Drosophila melanogaster: one gene and its partners. The protein of the gene in region 4 interacts with the protein of the main gene of each other region in a pairwise test. Each region holds a gene or a part of one and is shown on either strand. Other genes may lie near its edges. The genes, in order: Roe1, santa-maria, CG30355 and CheB42b.

Evidence for each region.
Region 1: the proteins of CheB42b (region 4) and Roe1 interact in a two-hybrid assay, tested with the Drosophila melanogaster proteins (one large-scale study listed by BioGRID).
Region 2: the proteins of CheB42b (region 4) and santa-maria interact in a two-hybrid assay, tested with the Drosophila melanogaster proteins (one large-scale study listed by BioGRID).
Region 3: the proteins of CheB42b (region 4) and CG30355 interact in a two-hybrid assay, tested with the Drosophila melanogaster proteins (one large-scale study listed by BioGRID).

What each region holds. Positions count from the first base shown.
Region 1 is NT_033778.4:13,551,997-13,557,149, reverse strand, and holds Roe1 (Roe1), read right to left. Parts: upstream 3,074-5,153; 5' UTR 2,970-3,073; coding exon 2,884-2,969; intron 2,764-2,883; coding exon 2,469-2,763; intron 2,124-2,468; coding exon 1,863-2,123; 3' UTR 1,544-1,862; downstream 1-1,543. Other genes in the region: link, read right to left, coding at 1-1,162. UniProt on the Drosophila melanogaster protein: Essential component of the PAM complex, a complex required for the translocation of transit peptide-containing proteins from the inner membrane into the mitochondrial matrix in an ATP-dependent manner.
Region 2 is NT_033779.5:7,443,685-7,453,071, reverse strand, and holds santa-maria (scavenger receptor acting in neural tissue and majority of rhodopsin is absent), read left to right. Parts: upstream 1-1,827; 5' UTR 1,828-2,123; exon of another isoform or gene 2,124-5,384; 5' UTR 5,385-5,424; coding exon 5,425-5,565; intron 5,566-5,770; coding exon 5,771-6,076; intron 6,077-6,136; coding exon 6,137-6,656; intron 6,657-6,718; coding exon 6,719-7,443; 3' UTR 7,444-7,717; downstream 7,718-9,387. Other genes in the region: Gr28a (gustatory receptor 28a), read left to right, coding at 1-352, 412-531; CG5973 (uncharacterized protein), read right to left, coding at 8,099-8,145, 8,213-8,363, 8,429-8,607, 8,674-8,799, 8,859-9,012, 9,087-9,178, 9,240-9,387.
Region 3 is NT_033778.4:8,677,761-8,682,515, reverse strand, and holds CG30355 (uncharacterized protein), read left to right. Parts: upstream 1-2,562; 5' UTR 2,563-2,687; coding exon 2,688-3,022; intron 3,023-3,079; coding exon 3,080-3,305; 3' UTR 3,306-3,370; downstream 3,371-4,755. Other genes in the region: Acsl (Acyl-CoA synthetase long-chain), read right to left, coding at 911-1,065, 1,131-1,406, 1,468-1,731, 1,795-1,967, 2,030-2,504, 3,382-3,588, 3,648-4,086, 4,488-4,550.
Region 4 is NT_033778.4:6,941,488-6,945,984, forward strand, and holds CheB42b (chemosensory protein B 42b), read right to left. Parts: upstream 2,509-4,497; 5' UTR 2,500-2,508; coding exon 2,263-2,499; intron 2,197-2,262; coding exon 2,020-2,196; intron 1,860-2,019; coding exon 1,683-1,859; 3' UTR 1,609-1,682; downstream 1-1,608. Other genes in the region: CheB42c (chemosensory protein B 42c), read right to left, coding at 3,207-3,383, 3,454-3,630, 3,687-3,923.

The DNA of each region.
Region 1 (5,153 bases), 6.6 Mb from region 4:
GTGCCTGGGACGCCTCGATTAGCCGCTGAAGATCATCGTTGTTGCTCAGTGCGTGCTGCACGGCCTTGAGCACCTGGGTGTCCATGGCCTGGGTCTGTTCGGGACTGAGTGCCAGGGTGCTCAGGCGCTTGGCCAGTTCCGCCAACTTGGGCTGCCGCTCCAGAAAGATTTCCACGACTTGCGGCGAAATATTGGCCATTTTGGCCAACTGCTGGATGTACGGAGGCAATGTTGAGTATTTGCCCTCCGCATCCTCTTGCATGATCAGCTTGGGCGTGTTGAGATGTGGCTTGGTCACGGGGGCAGGTGTGGTTGTGGTCGTGGTGGTGGTGGTCACCTGGATTGGCTTTGTGGTGGCCAGCGATACGGGACGCAGGGGAATGGGATAGTGATACGGCAGTGGCTGCCTAACCAGGATGGGACGAAAAGGTTTCAAGCCAGCAGGAGGAGGAGCCACAAAGACGGGCTGGAAAGAGCCACTTGGCCGAGCGATGAACGGAGCAGGAGTGGTGGTAGTGGTGACCTGACCAGACCACAGGTTGTACTGCTTCACAAAGTCACCGAAACGCTGCATTAAACTCAGCTCAGGACGGGGATCTGCAGTGGTGGTGGATTTTTCCTGCGGCATCTCATCGTAGCTGGCATTGCCCATGGTGTTGTCATCATCATCGTCGTCGTCGTCTTCAGCCTTCTCTTGTTCCTCGGCCACATTCTCCTCCTCCGCCTCCTCGAAGTGCAGGGCATCCAGATACTGTTTCATCAGGGCCAAACCCTCCTCCGTTCCAGTTAGCGTGCGTATATAGTCTATGGTCTCGCTGGCACCATCCGTACCAATCATCTCGCCCAGCTCCTCGAGATTGGGCAGATCTTTGAGGCCCAGCTTGTTGTGAGCAATGTTCAGGAGATCAGCAGGATAGCCAGAGGTTGGAGCAGCCGTCGTGGTTGTCGTAGTTGTTGTGGTTGGCTTTATCAGTTTGTAGACCGGCAGGTTGTAGTACAGGGCATTCTGCAGCTTGGAGTCCATTCTAGGTGGGAATTTTCTATTGATGTCCACTATAACAGCGCTGTCTTGTCCATAAAAACGAGGCAGCATCGACACTCTAGCCTGGATGCACTGCACCATGGCCAAGGACCAGAGAAAACGCATTAGCACACCAATCATACCGTTCACTTCAAATGTTTAAGGACAACTAACCAACGAGATAGTTCAAAACCGTTTGAAGTAGACTTTCAACTCTGGCGCAAATCTCGTTTTAGGGAACCCACCATCTGTGCTACCTCTGAATTCATGGGAACGTGCTTGGAAGCCTACCTGCTGGGTCATAGAAAATCACGCATTTCCATTGAATTTTCCACCTACGCGACGAGCAGGAATGCGATTACGCTTCGCTACCTGGTTTTTGTTAACAAAAGAAATGGTTTTTCATGAGGGATTCGAATTTCAAGGGCTAAGGAAAACGGGGAAAATCAAAGGAAACTAAAAAGAGACCTAGATAAACAGAGTCTCCTCCAGATGAGGATGAAATACAAATTTCCGTGGTATATTTCAACAAACTAAAACATGTTTTATTATCGTAATTAAACCTTAAAGTGGAACACTCGATGGCCACGCGTATGGTACAAATTGTGGCCATCAAATCCAGTCACAGATCTCTTAGAAACTAGGAGGAATTCTAAATTCGCAAGCTTTGCCCGAAGGATGCGTTTGTGGGATAGGTTGTATTTACACAGGGTTTACGTACATGAATTTTGCAGCGGAAAACAAATTGCAAACAATTGAGAGACACACGCCATGTAAATTGGTTTAGGGGGGGGGGGGGAGTACTGGGAATTTTACATGCCTCTGGGCAGCCGCATGGCTATCAACACTTCGACACGCCCACCAAGGCCGGACGTATGCAACGCTCGTGCAGTTTGTAGCCCAGCTTGGTCACCTCCACCACGGTGTTGGGCTCGACGGTCTTGTCCTCCTTCTGGAACAGCGCCTCGTGCTGATTGGGGTCGAACTTCTGGTTGATGGGATCCAGTGGCTCCAGTCCGTGTCGCTTGAACACCTGCAGCAGCGAGGCGCGCGTCATGGTGAGGCCCTCGTACAGGTTCTTCAAATCAGCATTGCCGCTGAGCTGCAATAATTAAGATCATTAGTAAGGGTAGCTTTAAGAATGTTAATGCAAAACGATTAAACTATCTATTAAGTCTAAAATGGCTAACAAGTTATCCAAATATCTCAATTTAAAATACCCCAACAAATCTATATGTACAATTAGATGTATGTAATGCAATCGGGTTTGTTATCTCTCAGATAGAAATGGAAAGATCGGGAAAATACACCTTAAAATGCTATGAAGATTTTCAAGTATTGGCAACAAATAATTACGAAATTCTTATCTCAACATATGCAACTTCATTGCGAGTCTGAATCCTTAAGATACCTTAAACCTTAAATCTTAAGATAAGATAGTTTGTACCTTATCCTTGGGCACCGCCTGTGTGGCATGTCCCAGTGTGTCCGCCACCTCGAGCAGATCCTTGCAGAAGCTCTGGATGCCAAAGATCTTGGCGTCGCTGATCTGTTTGTTCAGTCGGTTCCTCATGTTTTCGCTGTCGGCTAGCGAACGCTTGTATTTGTCCATTAGCTCGGCATTCTGCTCCTTGGCGGCGGCCAGTTCCTTGGTGAGTTTCTCAACTTCTGGCGACGATTCGGTGGCCTTCTGCTCTGTCGCTTCTTCCGGCTGTTTCTCTGTGCTGTACAAACGCAGGGCACTGGTTGTGTGGTAGACGATTGGGAGTGAGACGGGAGGCAATGTTAGAATTACATGCGAAACGACAAACGTGCGCCCTCATTACGTCACAGATAAGAGGAAGCAATGCAACCGGAATTACCTCATATTTTGAGAAGTGACCGATGACCTCAGGTGGACGAGTCGCCGGCCAAACATCTGCAGTGGTAAGGCTGCCTTTGCTGACATTATGCTTAGCTTTTTCGTACGTTAAATAAACTTATTCCGCTTTTGACGTAAAATCGTCGGCTTCACAGCTCTCTCAACAATCGATGTGTGTTCGATAGTAATTGTTTATCGATTCCACCCGGTGTTGCCGCTTAGTGTGACCGCAGCGCAGCTGTAGAATGCAACAGTCAAGTCGGATGTAGAATAGATGTAAGCTCGGATTCATTCATGTAAAAAATTATTTACATTAAATCCAAAGAAAATCTCTTTATATAACTAAAATACTTAAAAATAAATTAAGAAGGAAATCGGTGCAAGTAATAAATAAATATTTAAATAGCATCAATATTACCAAAATGAAATCAAAAATGTATGAAATTTTACCACTTTACACACTTAAACCCAAAAATGCAATAAACAAACAATTATTATTAATAAAGAAATCCCTACTTGATCAGTAGTTCCTGACACCCCTGAGAATTCACCTTGGTCATAAATACAAATTTAAAGCGACAAAATATTTCTTATATAAAATGGACAAACGGAATATGCAAATGGCATATAAAAATGTGAAAATGTGTATCGACAATATTGGCAGGCGCAGGTCCACTTAAAATCGATCGGTGTTAATGCAAAAATGGGCCTATATTCTTGGCGCTACCTTCGGACATATATTATTAAGAGTGCGCCACCGGCTATTAATCCACGCATAGCTTATAAATCGATCTCATACCAGATCGGCCACGCCCCGGGGCCGCCAAAATATGGACCGCTCGAAAAAAGTTGCTCTGGAAATGTAAATATCGGAAGGCTCTTAATGAATTCAAAGTACGAGTGTACGAGGCGGGCATAGCATCTATTCAACAACTTACCTCTCCGATCGCACTGCCAAGTATTACATATGCGCATGCATTGTATATATTTTGGAAAACGAAGCACGAGAAGTCACTTAGTTGGATCTCGCCACCGGAACAACGAGGTTGTCGTCTCAAAACTCGGTTTTTTTTTCATACTTTTCCAATAAAAAAAAACAACAAAAAATGCGTGAGGAGGATCTCCAATTGGCCCTCCAAATGGTGGCAAGTACCTCGGTGTCCAGTTCTCTGGAGGAGGAAAATGATGGAGCGGCAGCCACGTCGCCGGGCAACTCACCCAAGCCATTGAGAAGAGTCCTGGATTTGAGTGAGAGGCGTAAACAATTCAGGTGGGTGGACTAAGAAAGCTTCACAGGAAGGGAAATAAAGAGGTAAACATAGTAAACATGTAGTTTAGACTAGGTTTTATACAAAAACTACAGCTAAAGCTAGTTTCAACAGTGTCTATAGTAGATTTCCTATTAAAGAAAGATTCCAAGTGCTATTAATAGCTATCTGTGCAATAAAAACACATTAAAAAACAATATATTAAATGATATTCTTAGATCTAATTAAAGTTTTTCACACAATGCCATTTCTCCGCCATATAGTTGTATATTGTTTATAAGCGGTTCTAAAAATAAACAACAAAAATGTTTGTTTGAGAGGTTAAAAGCACTCAAAAACACGTACAAATTAGGCTAAAAATAAAAATGGTGTTTTCACGTGCCTGACTAATTTGCAATGCCAAGTACACTCCTTTGTCGACATTAATTATGAATGACGAATGCTCTTCTGAATGACGAAGGTGAAGACATCCGTTGGGTTTTTAAATTTCGCGCTTACTTTCGCGATGGGCCAAGAAATCGATGCTATCGATTATTTAATCGACTTATTGACAGCCCTAGCCAAAACTTTGACCAGTTTTTTTTTTGCATCGAAAGAATTCGTTAACAATCAGTGCGGTGTACTGCATTTAAACGGCATATATAGCACGGCATTCCTCCAGATAGGGCACAGATGTGTCCCTGATCTCTCCAAGCATCTGCAGGCATACAAGTGGAATGCCAGCACCAGAGGACCTAAACTCCTCCGACCAAGAGGAATATTTCTGCACCGAAAAGGACGCCGCTGCCGATGGAAGTCATCTGTTGCATGCCCCTGGAACGGTGGATGGAGCAACTGCATCCACCTCGGCTCCGGGACTGGGCGGCAACCACATGACCAGCAGCTGGTGGTGGTAAGGTCCCAATCACCTGCCCGAATTTGTAATCATGCGGTCTTATACACAACTCTTATCGGATTCCCATCTCACATGCAACAACACAGTGGTGGCCGTACGAATAGGTGC
Region 2 (9,387 bases), on a different chromosome or scaffold from region 4:
GCTCGGAATCATAGCCATATCCTTTCTGTTCATTCTCTTTGATGACTTTTACATTTTGGAAGCCATTCTGAATCCCAAACGACTGGATGTCTTTGAGGCCGATGAGTTCTTTGCCTTCTTCCTGATGCAGCTCATCTGGTATATAGTGATCATAGTGCTGATCGTGGAGGGCAGCAGTCGGACTATTTTGCATAGCAGCTATACGGCAGCTATAGTTCACAAGATTCTCAATATCACCGATGATCCAGAACTCAGAGATCGACTTTTCCGTCTGTCCTTGCAGCTGTCGCATCGGAAGGTCCTTTTCACAGCCGCAGGACTTTTTCGTCTGGATCGCACACTGATTTTTACGGTGAACTAATGTTGAAAATAATTAAATATTTTATTTATTTAAGTGGTTAATTTTTGCAGATTACTGGTGCTGCCACGTGCTACCTCATTATCCTAATTCAGTTTCGATTCACACATCACATGGACGACACCAGCTCCAATTCAACAAATAATTTACATTCCATTCATCTCGGCGATTGATTAAAATTATATATACACATTAATCAATTAAATTTAAACATAAAGTGTCCTAACGTACAGATGAAAAATAAATTAAAGTTTTCCAGCTCGCAGTAAATTACATTTTTTATCCGTATTTTTTAAGTTATGATATAATATTTAAAGCAAGTAAACATTTCAATTGCACTTAATCAGTACGTTACGTATTCACGTAACGTAAGCCAATCGACAACAACAAGCTGGTTGCTACGTCACTGACTGTGTTGCTGGCTGACATGAGCTGCTTGAATTTCACTAATGAATTCAAATGGATAATGCTGGCCGAGACCCATTTCGAAGCTAAGGGCTGGCTTGACCCACTTCTGCTTGCTCCACTTCACAACATTGCAACATAATCTGCAGCGGTAACTGACTTTTGGCCACAACTGATAGCTAATCCCAGTTAGCACGCCATGTGAAAGGAGGCAAAAGACTAATCCAATAAGGAAGCCAGCCTGAATACGCACTGAAGCAATGACATTTTATTGTTTTATTGCCTCAGACTGCAATCCATGGGTGTTTTCTATGCCATTTGCTGGGGAGTTGTGCCCCTATGATAGCGAAATAAAACAAAAAAACAGTTGAAACTTTGCTCTGATCGCTTGTCGATTTTCGCAGCTTACAAGTGTGTGGGGTTAGTCGTGAATGTTCGCTGTTCACCCAGTGCTAATCATCACGATTAGCCGCATTGATAAGGCTTCGACAATTTGTTATCAATTCGGATTTCTACTTTACGATTTGTTTACTTTTCCACAAGCCACCCGATTCGTATGCGAAAATTCGCAGTTTTATGAAATCTAAGTGCATAGGAATTTCTTTCGCTGATTGTGATTTTTTGAAATGTGACCCAGTTATATTTGCTATTCGACTGAACAATAGAAAATATGTTGACTCTTTCAGTTCATTCATTTCATTTTTATATCATTTGATATTTATTAGATGTAAATATTTAAAAAATATATATATAAGAAACTAAAATATTTGTAAACGTATTTAACAAAGCAAATGGTTCAATTTAGATTATTTCCAAAAATTTATATAAAGATGGTGACACTGTTGTTTCTGACTACTTCTTCCCTTGGATGCATTCTACAGTTTTAAAGTCGTACTCGCGTTTCAGATTGTATATTGTTTAATTCAAAATTCAATGGCACAACTATGAAAAGCCCAAAGCGCAAATTAACCCAAACACCCACTCGCACACACACATACACACCGTTGCTCGGATACTCGGAGCTCTTCTCAAGCCCAATTCCATATACATTTCCATTTCCATGTGCCGCACTTGACTGACATTCATCGGCCGCCGAGACCGCTCCGCTCTGCTCGCGGTCCGTTCGCTGAGAGTCCGCCGCACAGTCGCATCGAAGCCGCCGGGCGAAGCGGTACCATTTTACGGCATTTCCCAGGGACTCGTGTCCACTTTTCCGGCCTCTGTGCAAAGAAATCATCCACGTGCTCAAGCGTTCTGTCCACATCCTTATCGAATTTCAATTTCCTCGCAAGGAAAATCAAAACGTAAAAAAAAAACCGAGGAGCCTGTGATTTGTTTCTATTTAGCAAATAAAAGTCAAGTGAGTGCCTTTAAAAGAAAATAAAGGAAATTTGGAAAGACAAAAGAAAACTCCTTTCGCAATATCACGTAATTTCTTAGCGCTTCCTGCTTTGTTAACACATTACGTTTTGGCTTGATTTGGCTTAATCGCCGGCAGACTTATTAAGATTACAGGTCATTAAATGAAATTAACTCGACAAGAATGAAAAATAGTCGCCAGACAGAAAACCAAATATATATGTATGTACAGTGGCAATCTATATTATACATTCTTTTTGTGTTTATACTGGCTTTGTGTGTCGTCTCCCTTTTGAAGAAATAAGAGTGCCGGAATGCAAAACAAAGGGCTTCCAGCTTGGACTACGAGGCGACCTGTTGATTGTGCGATTAATGGTCTAAAATTAGTCCCAGGGAAAACAGCTGCTCAGGAAAATATTAAGCATGCGCCCCGTTGACGAATTATGTTTTGTAGCTTGTATTTTTACATAAAACGAAATTGGGCGATGATAAATTATAATGAAAAAATAAAAAAATCTAGTATATGTTTTGGAATTTTCTGCAAAAGAACGGCAGCTGATCTTATTTGGTATATAAATAAAAAACAAAACAGTGGTGTACAAAACACATTGCGTATGCGACCTGTTAACCATTTAAAGTTCAAGATAATTAAATATCAACTTGCTCCCAACTAATTGCAGTTGCGTGTGCCTTTATAAGATAATAAATATCTGAAAAACAAATAATGTAAATACTCTAATAGAAAACCAACGAATGTCTTAAAAATTGCAAATTAAAATATTTATTTAAATTTTCTTTATTGTATGCAATAAAGAGCCAAAGAAACTTCACATTCATTTTCCAGCTATTCGCTAATTGAATAATCAATGCCCAGATTGGCGAATCCTCAATAAATACAGCTGTTCGTTGGCAAATTACTCATGGGACCCGTTTAAATATAGTTCAAGATAATCGAAACTAGCCCCTAATAGCATGTTCATTAAAGTTTCGTTTAAGAATTCAACTCATGCTGGACAATTAAAGTCAAATCAATTAATCAATTCACAATGAATTAATTAAAATCTCAAAGGGCTTAAACAACTTTAGTTAATACTGAAATCTTGGCTACGTAAAAGTGGCATTTAAAGAAATTTTTTGATTTAAAGTTCATTAAAAAGAAACAAAATAACTTTCTGCAGTTCAGGGACCTTTAAAAGTACCAAGCCTATTTACGGTTTAGCCTTTCGCTCTTTATTTATAGTTGTTGGCTTTTTTTTAAATCGTCGTGTGTATTTTCGTACTTGAAGGCTGCGAAAACTCAATTACATGCCGATAGCTCGTTATCAAAAAATACTCGCCCAAGCATATGTGAATTTGCGAACTGCGTCAAATCTGTAAGTTGCGGTTTATCTCAATGGCAGCCTTTGTGGTTAAATGGGGTTGAAAAACATCAGGAAAAACTGAGAAGGTGTTGACTTGTCTCACATCCAGTAGACGATCTTAAAGTATCGGGTTTACTGCGTCTGACTTAGTACTTAGAATTTCCGTTTCATATCAAGTGCACTTGCACTCAGGAAGTTAACGCCAAAAAGGCAGATAATTCTTGCTAGAATGTTTCAGAATGCATTCACTTTCGATGTGGCATCACTTCAGAGTTCAGTGTTCTCGGTGCATTTGCATAGAATATGAATAAAGCGTTCGGAGCATTCATAAAAATGTTAATATAGAAGATCAAGAACCAGAGAGTATGACAAGAGCATGCCTAATTTAATAATGAATCAAATATACCGGTCACTAAAATTTAAGCTTAATTAAACGCAATTATTCAGTGTTGCGGCTTCGAGCTTCAAGAGCGAATATCAAAGAACTGCACTGAAAAAAAAACGTATCTTGCTATAAATATTTTCTCACAAAAAGAGATATTCCTGCTAAAATCTCTTAGATTTCCATTCAAAATCTATCCTCGTTATGTGCGGTATTGCTCTTGATCTAATTGAATTAAGCGAAAAATGCGGGATGAACTCTACGTGATGCACCTGTCCAACGTCCATTTCAATTAAAACTCACTTCAGATTAATTGTGAAGACAATAAAAAGGCGCCGACAAATGCTCGACAGCTATTCATCATTCAAAAGACATAATCATATCAATTTACCAGACACCAACCAGAACACAACTGACACGCTCCCAAATAAGCATATATATATGTATATATGTGTATATATATATATAGATTCCTACTCGTATTCATGTGCAATAACGCAAAGTGTCAAAGACCCAACCATAGCTCACTGCGGGGTCAATTGATAGACTCAATTATGACGATATATCACAGAGATGCGAACCTGTGGCATATGTACGTACATATGCAATATTTATGCTCAAGTGATACATAGTGTTTGGTGATGGGAACTCTGGGCAGATTGGTCAAATAATTGCCAGAGGATGGATTCCCGATAAGCGATAAGTGCAGTGCAGTTCAATTTCCTCAATTGTCTGTGGCTTCCTCATGGGTCTGTTTACCTAAGAGTTCAGAATCCGCTTATCGGACCACAGTGAATGCCCCATATAGGAAAATTCGCCTACCGAATGCGATCATAAAATATTTTATCCACATTCATGCATGTTATTCGTAAACGAAATGGATAATTACACGTATTGCTTGCAATGCAGCTTCAAACTATCATAACTAATTAAAACACATCATCGTTGAGTGTCGGGGGAAGCTTTGTAATTATCACCACTGATAGGGGATTCGACTATAGTTCTGTATATATGTACACATATACTTACCGGACTTAGTATATTCTACATGAGTGTAAACAGCAATTGAAAGTCACGCTTTGCTTAAATTGATTCAATTATATTGATAAAAATAGACGCTATGGGAATTCGTCACTCAATAAAATGCTGCGCTTTTTGCATTTTATTTGTATTCAATTCTTTGTTGATTTCTTTGTTCGCCATACTTATATTAATATGTGACTTGATGCATCTGTTAATAAGAGATTTGATTCTACATTTTTTTTATTCTTTAACTAGCACTGCCTGAAAGTAGGCAACATGAACATGAGTTCACAAAATAATATTGTGTAAAGTTATATTTTAAATTATTGTATTATGATTTGTTCATAATGATTTTATAATAGAAAACTTATCAGTACATTCTCAACTTGCACTACATTTATGAGTTCTTTCATTTGATCCATTTTTATATGTTGGCAAATAGACTATCAATTTATCCATTTTCATTGATGTTTCAATGACTTGCATATCATTACAGCCACCATTAGGTATCCACACACCATCGCCCAGCGTGAGCCATGCCAACACAAAACAGCGCAATGTGGGGCCAAAAAAGTAATCGCAAATTAATTATCGGCATTTTCGGCTTTTGCCTGGGACTATTTGGCATATTGTGCGGCATGTTCTGGGTGGACCTGTTCGATTGGATCATGCACAAGGTAATCCCAGTCATTGACAGAGGTTCAGTTAAGTTCATTTCACTTCACTCCAGTGTTAGCCCGGCCAGCTGCATTCGATTAGTGGCTAAAGCCAATTGAAAGTCAAAAGAAAAACAGCCGCCTCTCAATTGGCGCGAGTCAAAGATCGAGGAAAACTCGTTGAGATTTTCAATTAATACCAATTGCGGCTTCTGTTCTTCGACAGGAAATGGCTCTGGCCCCCGACACACGTGTCTATGAAAATTGGAAGAGTCCGCCAATTGATCTCAGTCTGGACATCTACCTGTACAACTGGACGAATCCGGAGGATTTCGGCAACCTTTCCACAAAGCCCATTCTGGAGCAGGTGGGTCCTTATCGTTTTATCGAGCGACCCGATAAGGTGGACATTCACTGGCATCCAGAAAATGCATCCGTCACTTATCGCAGGCGCAGCTTGTTCTACTTTGATGCGGCGGGCAGTAATGGCAGCCTGGACGATGAGATTACCACGCTTAATGCAGTGGCTCTGGTAAGTATCCTATTCCCTTTTATTACATAATATAACTATAACTATACATTTCCATTTCAGTCTGCAGCCGCCACAGCCAAATATTGGCCACCAGTTAAGCGCTCCCTTGTCGATGTGGGACTAAAGATGTACGGTGCCGAGATGTCTGTCCAAAAATCGATCGATGAGCTGCTCTTCACCGGTTACAATGACGCAATGATCGACGTGGCCATGGCCATGCCCATTTTTGGTGATGAGGTGAAGGTTCCATTCGATAAGTTCGGTTGGTTCTATACGCGCAATGGAAGTGCCGATCTTACCGGAGTTTTTAATGTCTTCACTGGCGCCGATCAACTGGCCAAACTGGGTCAGATGCACTCGTGGAATTACCAGGAGAACACTGGATTCTTTGATTCCTATTGCGGTATGACCAATGGATCCGCCGGGGAGTTCCAGCCACAGCATCTGAAGCCCGGCGATAGTGTTGGTCTATTTACGCCCGATATGTGCCGAACTATTCCGCTGGATTATGTGGAAACTGTGGATATTGAAGGACTGGAAGGTTATAAATTCTCAGGCGGACCACGATCTGTAGATAATGGTGAGTCTTGATAAGAATTGATTAATTGTGAGTACCCATTCTATTAGAGATTTATATTTCAGGCACCCAGTATCCTGAGAACCTTTGTTTTTGTGGTGGCCAATGTGTTCCGTCGGGTGTGATGAACATCAGTTCCTGTCGCTTTGGATCTCCTGTTTTTATGTCCTATCCACACTTTTTCAACGCCGATCCTTACTACCCAGATCAGGTAGAGGGCTTGAGTCCTAACCAGAAGGATCACGAGTTTTATATGGTTGTGCAGCCAAGTACTGGTATTCCCCTGGAGGTGGCTGCCCGATTTCAAGTGAATATGCTCGTGGAGCCAATCCAAGGCATTAGCTTATACACTGGAATACCAAGGATATTTTTCCCACTCGTATGGTTCGAACAGAAAGTAAGAATCACTCCAGATATGGCAGATCAACTGAAGGTGCTGCCCATTGTCATGCTCTCCGGACATATATTCGCCGGAATTTGCTTGATCGTAGGCATAACTCTACTCTGCTGGACTCCGGTTCAGATTCTATTGGCTTCCTGTCGAAATCGTAGATACGATCTGAGGACCAAAACCAAAACGAATGGCCAGTATAAGAGTCGCTCTCAATTCTCCAGTGCTGAGGAACTGAAGTCCAAGGCCTCCACTTTGGTGTGCGAAAAGAGTGTCAAAGGATCTCCGGACAGTTCTCCGCTCCTCGAAAAAGGCCGTAAGCCAACCATTATTAAATCCCAGACGGGTGAAAGTGTGGCCACTGCATCCACAGCCATCAGCGACAATAAGCAGGATTGAACAGAACCGCCACATTCACGCCATTTAGATAGTTAAGCCGTCCTAGTGCTTTAGTCGTAGCTCATAGTTTAGTGACACTCTAAAACACCCAACTGAAAATTGCAAGCATTCCCGTGCCTATGCCAAAGATTAGATAGCCTTCGAAGTCGAAACGTCTGGTGGACTTCGCTTAGCTAACGAATACTCTTTTTACATTCCTTAGTTATTAGATATGTTTTGTATTAAAATGATTTCTTGACCCATGGCTTTCGTGTCAAATAAAATCTTCAACTACAAAGGAAATTATCATTTTAGTAGGTTAAGTGGGTAAGATTGCACATAACTATTTTTATTTCATTACAGCTCACAACGTTTGTTTTGAATTTTAACAACATTTTTTTCATCTTTATTAGTTCAATAACAATTATACAAAATATATAGTATATATGGTATCCACTTTAATGCCTAGCTCATGAGCTTGTATCGTGATCATTTTAATTATTGTGAATAATTTTCTTAACCTTACATTTAAAGGGCAAAGAGACTATTACTTAACGTACGACAATATTTGCAATATCACAAATGACCCAACTTAAGTGACTAAAATACGAATCGAAAGGGGGAAGGGAGGATTGTGCGGATTTGGGGGGTTAGTTTTGGACTATTCCTTGTACTATTACTTCTTCATCTTATACCCCTCAGTATACCCATAGCTGTCAGCCACTAAAAAAAAAAAAAGTTAAGTTTATTAGTATATAAAGCCTGATATTGCTGTTTATGAATATCTTACGTTCATAATCCTTGGAATAGCACTCAAAGAATTCGCCCAAAACTTTGCCGTGTGGCAGTTCCCATGTGGCAGAACCACCGTATTTCGGAGGCAAAGCCTTCGCCTCAATATGGGAGATCAGGGACTTGTAGTCCTTGCCATGGAAGAAGATCTACCAAATAGGAATTTATTACATATAACTTAACATTATTTCATGTATTTCTTATTCAAACTTACCCTCTTGCGCAGCTTTTCGCGAATGAATGGCTTGAATACGGCAAAGAGCATATTGAATATATATGAATTATTCACTATGTGAACTGCTTTCAAACGCATGCAGATGCATTCTTGAATGTAATCCAGCAACATGGCGGCAAATGACGGTGTAAATTGTGTAATGTGGCTAAGTGGCAGCCCTGCAAAATGGTTAATATGTATTAAGTAACTTGTATAATTTGTATTTCCTGCCTAGAATTTATTACCTTCCATATCGATAATGACAACTGAGCCGCAAATTTGTGAGTAGGGCTCCACCATAGAACCCAGTACGGTCAATTGAATGCCGCGGAATAGATCCACCAAGGGCACTTGCGATGGCTTCCATTTTTCTGGAGTAATTCAATTATTTATAGACATTTTTTTAGTTGTTTTTAAGAGCCAAACTTACTGCCAGCTTCCAGCACCAAAAGCCGACGGCCGTGTTGATCTCTTTGGGGCAGCAAATTCAGAATATTTGCCTCGAAAACGTTTCTCAACTTGCTGGGGATTATGTTCTCGCAAGCGGCTCCATACTTCAATTTCATGTGATAAAAGTTCTTGAGCTGTACATAATGTAAGAGAAAATAAATAAAAAATATATATATTTAAAGCTTGCATGTTTCAACAAATTACTCACCCTTTTCAAGGCACTTTCTGGATAGTAATGGGTGGGACGCAGGAACATCATCATATACTCATCATCCAATGGCAGGTTCAGGTACTTTTCATCTATTAATTTGGAATTTTTTTTTTAAATTTTATTAACCAACGTGCATGTGCTTTCACCCACTTTGAATGAGTTCCCTGAGTTCCTTGATGGCCTGCTCCTTGACGCCGGGCACTTCCCGCAACTCATCCTGTGCCTTCTTCAGTGCCCATTCCGGCGCTTGTTCCTTCTCCATGCGGATCTGTGCCGAGCCCAGATCGATGTAGGGCAA
Region 3 (4,755 bases), 1.7 Mb from region 4:
TTCATAAAATTCATTTGATGTCCTTTTTTTAACTAAATTGAGCTAAAATATATATTACAATTGCCTTTGTAACCTTTATGCCTTTGTGTAATTAAAAGTAATTTTTGGATGGTTCCATTTGTGTTTAGATGTATTTTACTCTGCGCCAAAAAGAAGCATTTGCAAGGGAAATTCTTAGGTTCTTTACTTTCAATTGTGGCTTTTAATTCATAATCAAGTCGCTTTCATTGCTGCTGTCTACATTTCATTACTTCAAGAATTCCATACATTTAACTTAGCATAGAGAAGTACACTAAATATTAGATTTATTTTACACATATATGCTTTTATATGAATGTGTATATCGTATGTACATAATTAATAGGCAACCACTTAAGCTTAATATAAAAATAAGTATTTTTCTGCAATATAAATTTGCCACACAATGTACTATAAACCGAAAACTGTACAGTATACAATATTCCTTCTCATCATCGGCATTCAGTTATCATTACCATTATCATTGTCAATCGGTTGAACAGCATTCCTAGCACATACACAGCGCATTTCCAAACCAAACTCAGCTTCAGCTACATATCTGCCAAGCAAGTCTTTGCGAACTTTATTAAAATGAGAAACGAGTAATTTTCGATTTCTAGCAAATAAGATAAAACGAAACGAAAAAGGCAAATGAGAACATTCTGTCTGTCTTTACATGCGCAATGTGGCTAATCGGTTCCTGCATGTACTGCTCGGCATTTAGATCTTTTAGGACTTAAGCTAGTTTGGTTTTGGATTTCGTATGCATGCTTATGCTGTGTGGGGTGCTACTAAAAACAATTAGTACACACTAGCTTCATTGCTGCTGCTTTAATGTTTGCGTGTTGTTGTCGTTGCTGCATCTGGTACCTCTGGCTTAGTACATTGACTTTCATGAGGCGTACATGCGGTTAATATCATGCTGATATCTGTCCTGGATATCCTTGCGCTTCAGCTTGAAGGCGGCGGTTACCAGCCCCATGTCCGGAGACCAGACCTCCTTACAAAGTGTGATGGCGGCGGGAACCTCATATTTTTGCAATTTACCTTTAAGATTAAACAATTTGCCATTAAAAACTTTGAAAAATACTCAAATCTGCATCGTAGCTTACATTTCCGCGCATGCTCAGCAATTTCCTTGAGAATAGCCTTCTCTATGATCGGTGATGAGCACAGCTCCTCAAAGGACTTATCACCCAGGCCATGTTTCTGTGCCAGCTCCTCCAAATGGTTTTGGTTGGGAACGACCAGCGCCACTGTGTACTGCTTTGTCGGATCTCCGTATACGCAAATGTTCTCGATGATTCCGCAAGTCTTAAGCTCAGATTCAACTTTGCCAAGGGAAACATACTCGCCGGCCTGCAGCTTAACCAGATCCTTCTTACGATCTGCAAAAAGCGTATTATAATAAAAAAAATGAAAGAAAAAGCACTGTGCTAAATAACTTACCAATAATCTTAAGTACGCCATCAGCTTGTATTTCGCCAATGTCGCCGGTTTTAAACCATCTCTGTCCATCCTCCTCAAAGAAATCCTCGTTGGTCTTGCCGGGCAACTTGTAGTATCCCTGGGAGACACACTCGCCACCAATGAGAACCTCACCCTGGGGATAAGGTTTATTTGTGACGCGGTAGTTGCCTTCTTCCCAGTTGACTAGACGGATGTCGCAGACAGTTAATGGTCCTCCAGTGCGTCCATAGGTCATATCACGGTCTTGTATTGGGTATAAAGTTATTTACTTGTTTTCAAAAGAAAGGTCGATCTGCGATCACTTACAGTCCATGACAGTGGCTCCAGACGTAGTTTCCGTAAGGCCATAGCCCTGAATCAGCTCCAAGCACAAGCAGGTCTTGATCTGCTCATGTGTATCTGCTGACAGAGGCGCTCCGCCAGACATGATAATGCGCACTTTGCCACCCATTAGCTTTGCCACCTTCTTGAACACCAGTCTGCAAGAAAAATAATAGTTTTAGTTAGCAACTCATGATATTTATGAGCACACCGTTCTTACTTATCAATCAGCGGCGTCTTGTACCCCCTCTGCACCCACTTGACTTTGTACTGGTAAAGGAATTTGAAGAGTGATTTCTTGAACGCCGAGCCAGAGTTAACCTTGTCGTTAATACCCTTGGAAATGCGATCCAATATCAGCGGCACCGAAGTCATGCAGGTGGGCTTCAGGACGGTGGCATCGCCCTTGCACCCGCGTTTGATCTTGCTGCTAGTGTCGATCAGAGTCAAGGGGGTCGAGTAGCCAATTGGAACGCCAGTCATGAGACACACACTTTCCGCAACCAATTCAAAAACGTGAGCCAGGGGCAGGAATCCGATCAGTACATCATCCGGATAGATAGGCACCATATCAACAAATCCCTTCATTGTCGCAATGCAGTTCTTGTGCGAGAGGAGGACACCCTTAGGTGTGCCAGTGGATCCGGAAGTGTACATGATAATGGCAATGTCATCTCCCTTGGGTGGAACGTGCTCTGTGGGATACAAAATAAAGTCAATTAGTACTAGTTTAATATTTAACAAATTCCTTGCGCATAGCACGCTATACATATGCTGTCAACATTTCAGTGCTGAATTAAAAGCGCATACTTTCGGTAAACAGAAAGAACTCTTTCCAAATTGTGTAGGGTGATTTTTTAGTTCAGACACCATTCGAAATGGCTGAAGTCCTAGAGGAATTCATCACCCTAACGCCCTTGACTTGTGTGCAACAATGCAATGCTTTACTAGGCTCAACATCAGGAAAGCCGAGAAGCTGCTCCGTATTTTTTACACTATTTGGCGTATACTGCGGCGTTCTCATCTTTCGGGCGTATCGCACATATTCCTCTAAGCAAGAAAGAGACGAGGAAAAGATAACCGAAGGAGTTACCCTTGAGGCTAAGGAGGAAGATTTGATCATAGGACCTGGTTCCAGTCTTGTGAACGAATATGTAGAACAAACGAAGCCGATTCTGTTGCAACCCGTCGGTTTTTCCAGTACTGACATGAGGTGAGAGTTGTAGATTAAAACACTGGATGACCCATCAACACATTCTGTCTCGATTAGATGGCGCTATTGCAACCACTTGCCGGAAGCAGAATTAGCACAAGGCTCTGATAGTGAAAACAGATCAACCGAAAGAGATGACATTGATAACCTCGAAAGGATGAGCAATGTTGTGGATGATAATGATGCGCAGAAGCCGGTTGCATCCACATCGATGGCAACGGCTCGGGCGCCTGAGGATAACGCCGATGGTGAACACGTCGAGCCCACACCATTTTCGGTGTGAAACACGATGCATTTTAGCAAATTTATCGTGTAATTGACATAAATAAATCATCTTTTAAGACCCTTTCAAAACGTACCAAATTTACTGTCCTGTCCTGTCTTGACAACTTGGTTAAACGGCAAGATCTTGACGCCCTCCTTGAAGCCAGTGGTTTCTGTCTTTTGCAGCTGATCCTCAATATAGATAATAGTCTTCACCAATGGGCATTTGTCGAGCAGCGTCTTAAACTTGGGCAGCAGATCATGGGAGGTGATAACCGTGGTGACTTCCGTTTCGGTGATGCCTGGCAACAGAGCAAAATATTATTTAAAAACCATACACATGGTAAGCCAATTTACTCACAATGAGCAACTCCATCATCGCCCAGCGTAGCATAGACAGTGACAATGGGCATAGCCTGCTTAAAGCATCCGTGGGCAGCTATCATCCATTCGGCTCGCGTTTCGGCAAAGATGACAATGTTCTCGCGTGGTTTCTGGCCAAGTTCTCGCAGACCGCGCCCGAAATTAGCCGCCGTGCGCTCCGCCTCGGTGAACGTCTTCCACTTGTAGTCACCGAGGTTGTACTTCTTGAAGACTCGACCGTTCTGCTGCACCTCATCCTCCTCGCTGAGGATCTGCCGGGTGCCCAGACAACGCTTCGACGTGTAAGTTTTGGCCACATAGTTGAATACCTTCTCCAGGGTATCGATATTCTCTTGCAGCATCTTCACGTGGACATCCCGTGGTGGATCCGTGGTCCGGTAGGTCAGCTCATTGTCATCATTCCGCACGATCTTTGCCTGGAAAATGAGCGAATTCGTGGCGATTAGTTTAACGTCGTGTTAGAGGTTGCGATTTAAAAAGAAACGCTAGATTAGGGGAGGGACCACAAAGTAGAATCGACAGAGAGATAACGGACATGTGAGTTTTCGAGGGTTTGTTGAGGTGAGGGCCGTAACTCGGGAGATCATGTTTCTTGGACCAACACCAAAAAGAGTCTCCAAAAAGGGGATTCAACTCTGGGTACGATCACCAACCAGTACCTGGAACATTCATTGTGCGTGTGTGGTGTTTGTGTGTTGTATGGGGGTGCCCCAATGTATGTGTGTGTGTGTGTGTGTGTGTGTTCGTGTAATGTGTGTATGTTCCATAACAGATAGTATTACTAAATAATAAAAAAACACATTTGCAAAAGTTAAACCTCAATGTCATCCGGCGCGTACTTGGACTCATCGACCAACATTTTCTGGTTAATGGGCTTGGCCTGTAGAGGAAGGAGGAGTTGAGATATGCGATGAGAAGCTAGTTAGCTGTGGTATTGCATAGAGTTACTGATTCCCGATTAAGGCATTCAACTCGTTTTACTTATTTTTTCTAAAGATTATGCAAACTGCACACAAATGAAAGCGATCTTAGATTCCGGCGTTGGCGTACCCTTACTAACCCATAAACCTTATCAGCCGACTGAA
Region 4 (4,497 bases):
CGTGGATGTTGTGTTTCGTGCTAGCGTTGGGAGAGAGCTCAGCTGGTCCTGATCCCAGTGTTCGGGCATCGCCTTATGAATGGGCGAGTGGAGCTGGATTGCCTAGCAGCCAGACGCATAGTAAAAGTGCCGCAGCTAACAAAACCCCTTTTCAACTTAATTTCAAGATCCATTTAGTTAGCTACTGAAATTGTTAAATGTTTGTCTTAGCGGTGGTTTGAATGCATTTACTTTTTATTCATTGTCCTCATATTTCTAGAGTATTTACTGTTTACTGTTTAGTAACCAGTCATCGAGCTGAAAGATCTCGTTCCCGCCAGTTCGTGGTTGTATTCAAAACACTTTCCAGTTTCCGTCAGACATCGAAATCGAGTCTAAGCGCAGGGGAAGACAGCGAGTGCAATGGACGTGGTGCATCCATGCACATATAGTACACCACAACCGCTCCATGTGTATCCATTTATCTTGGCAAGCCAACTCGGCCGGGAAGTGAGCTAGACACCTAAAAACCCACAATTTATGCCAGTCAGAGCAAACTGGAAAAGTTCACACAACCACCACGAGGAGACCCACACCCATGCACACAACACACAGCTAACAACAAACGTGTGGCTGGCATTATAAACTCTTGATCTTTCCAATAGCCTACAAAGGCTGCCCACACGGACCGGCTCTCCAGCTGGTTCACAGCCCCATTCATGCTGCAATTTTGTTGCTATTTCGGTGCTGCTCCTCGATAAGGCCCCAAAGATTCCCAGCAGCGGCTAGGTGGATAGAGGCGGAGATGGCCAAAAAAAACGGGTTCAGAGCCATGCCGTCGCCACGTCCTACATTGCCAGCTTTTTGGGTTGGCGAACAAAGCCACTGCCTCCAGAAAGAGCCGTTTCTTATGCTAAATCCAAGAGCCTGCCTGCGAAGCAGAAGTCCGCACTGATTGATTTTCTATGAGGTCCGACGTACCATATACTATATAGTATAGTGAGTGCCCGCGGCCATAATTTCGGCTTTGGCCAGATGTTGACTTTACCGGATTGCCCGGAGCGGCCTGCACAATCGTGCGCTGCTAATTTGCACCTAAAGACGGTCTTTGTTTCTGGCTCTTCGGTTTAGAAAGTAGAAAATTATTCGCCGGGAATATGAAATGAAAGTGTTCCGAGGCTTACCTCCCTGCCGTTTAAAAGTTTTCGCAAATCTGTAAGAAACATTTTCCGTGAATTGGCAAGAGCTTTGCAAATTGACAAATCGATTGCTGCGATTTGAATCGATCGGAACTTATGCCAATCATCATCGGGTAATCCAATAACCGACAATTGTATTTGCATATTCCCCATCCAGCAACGGCAGTCATGACCCCAAAAAAATGCAGTCAGTATACGGTTCTCCTTTGTCTGCACGTCGTTACCCGAGAAGGTACTTGCCACACGCAGCTAGCCGATATGGAAACCGCAACTTGAACTCAAGTTGCCGTCAACGCGTGCCACCAACCACAAAACAAAACGAATCAAGAAGTTAACTGATTGGGGATATGGAAGGTAAAACAAGCCCCTAAAGTTATGAGATCTGTTAAAACACGATGCAATGTTTAAATTGTTATTGAATGTAGGAATTAAGAACACTATGTTTAATATTATACAATATTGAAAAAAAAAATACACATTCAACAAAATAGTCTATTGTTCCAACTACTGCAACTTTAGTGGTTCTCCTATGATCTCCAAACAAATTGGGTTTGGGCGCGGTATATTCCTCTCATCTAGTGCGTTAAACAATATGACAAGTTTATGACGTCCTCTAAGAAGAGGTCCACGAAAATTCTCAAATTTTAGTATGAGATCGAAGGGCTCGTGTACCAGAACGGTCTGTAAGAAATCAGAATATTTTCAAAATATTGTGCAATAAAAAATGGTAGTGTCCTTTGCACACAACCATATGAATAATCTGCATCCCATATGAGAACTATTCCCATATGCTATTATATTCCACCGTATTTGGTTGTCAAATTGCTTGAACTCCACTTACATCAGGCCCTCTGAAGCACTTCTTTTCCACCTCATGGCGATTGGTTATAAACCTTGTCCAATACTTATACCAATACTGGTTCTTGTCGTACATGATGGAGCAAAAGTTCTGGGTGGCCATGCTAAAGACAGTGGGCTCCCAAGTGCCGCGGTTGAAGTGAAAAACATCAAGTCTCGCCTACACGGATGCAAGAGTTTTGATATTAGAATCGATGATTATTCCGAAGCTTGCAGTTTGTGTTACAGTAATCCGATCGGTGGGCTGCACATCCCACACGACGGTGGCGTTCCCGGATACATGAAGTATATCCCCTTTCTGGTCGATTACAATGTCGTCTAAGTTGAGTGCCTGGCGGATGTTGATGGATCCGGGAGGACCATCAGTGCACGTCGAAAATATGTCCGGATCCTCGAGCAATAATTCATAGTCTGTGGCCCAGGAACTGGTCACTCCTAATAAGAGTAGCAGCACAAATATCATGATGACCATAGAACCGAAAACTGTGAGATCCGACCCCTTTATAGCCACTGCCACAATAGAGTTTTTGATATGTTTTATTTATACACCTTTTAAAATGATGACATCTAATCATGGTATGCCATCGTACATTGATTCAACACGCAACAATGTAACAACCATCTCCTGTTAATCAGACGTTGTCAAACTCTAACAATATAATTGGCAAATCACGTTATGTGACCCTTGAAAATATTCGTGCTTAAACATTGTAAAACAAGATGTTTTAATAATAATAACTTTTGGGCTAGAAAAAAAAACAAGTTTGAAACAAAAAACAAATTCCCCAAAGATTTTCTTGGCGATCACATATCCGTGTGGGCGTGACAGTTTTGGGCGGTTTTTGGTCGTTAGAGGGTGTGGTAGAGTAGGCGTGGCAATCTTCTGAAAGTACTTCTCTATAATCTGCATCCCTTATCTTATCAATATAGCTTTTATAGCTCCCGAGATCACATACGGGCATAAGGTTGATCAAACGAAAAAAAAGGTTCGCGTCACCTGTTACACACTTTGTACCAAATCAAGTACATATATCAAGTTCAGAATAGTTGATATATTTTATTTATATTTATATTTTTAAGATTGCTTTTTATTTTCAAAATATGTAGATATTGGGTTTATATTGTTTTTTAGGTTACTGATATCGCGCCTTGAACAGATTAAGCCCTTAATTAATTTATCTTCTCGGCCTCTCCCCTGATTTCGAAGCAAATGGAATTACGGCGTGGCACATCCTTCTCATCGACCGCCTCAAAGGTGACCACAGCTTTGTAACGACCCCTGAGAGTTGCACCACGAATGTCCGTTAGACGCAGCTGCAGATCGAATGGATTGTGCATTATAACGGTCTGTAATGGAATCCCAAGGTTAAAGTCACCGCGCCAGAGATGGACTGTTTTGTTTGCAGGGAAAACTCACACCACGCGTTTTAAAACACTTCTCCATCACCTCATCGCGGTTCGAAATGTGTTTGGTCCAGTACTTAAACCACGACTGATTCTCATCAAACATTGAGGCGCAGAAGTCCGGCGTGGCCATGCTAAATACAGTCGGTTCCCAGCTGCCGCGGTTGTAATGCATTATTGCAAACCTGGCCTTAAAAGCAATTGTTTATTAATAATCTTATTTCGTATAAGGAATGCGGGCATTACGGATATGCGATCTGTGGGCTCCACATCCCAGATTGAGGTGACACTCTCGGACAGGTGAATGATGTCCATGTCCTGGTCGACTACCAGATCGCCAATATCGAAGGCATCGTGGAATCCAATCGATCCCGGCGGCGGTTCAGTGCAGGGTGAAAAGATATCAGGGTCCTCCAGCAACAGCTCGTAGTCTGCGGCCCAGGAACTAGCAAAGCCAAATACGAACAGCATGAGAGTTCTCATGATGACAATAGTATCACCTGGTGGGATGAGACCCTTTTATAGTACTTGCCATCATGATCTCTTCTATCATTGCTATCATGTCATCATGTATCCACTCGACATGCAACAAAGTTACAACCATTTTGTTTGCCAGACATTATTTTAAATCGACATTTAAAGCAAGAAGCTCACTTCAACCATAACAAGTTTCGAGGAAATCAGTGCCAATGAAAATAGTCCTTATTAAACGATCAAAACAATCATTCCTGTTAATCTTATATTTATTAAGATATATAAGCTAAATACTAAAGGTTTTAGCCATTAGCATAACAACTTGTATGCCAAATAGGCATTTAGATTGTTATACTTGTAAAAGTATAACCTTTTGTTCTTCTTGAATTCAATGCTAAAATCTTTGTAGGCTCCTTGATTAAATTAAATTTTTACTTTTTTCATCGAAAATTAAACGATTTCATAAATTCCGTAACTATTTTGCATAATTGGGTGCGACAACTACACACCTACAACAAGTCAAATGGACACTTTCCGCAATTTAATCACAGCTTGTGAATCACAAGTGCAATTTCATATTCAT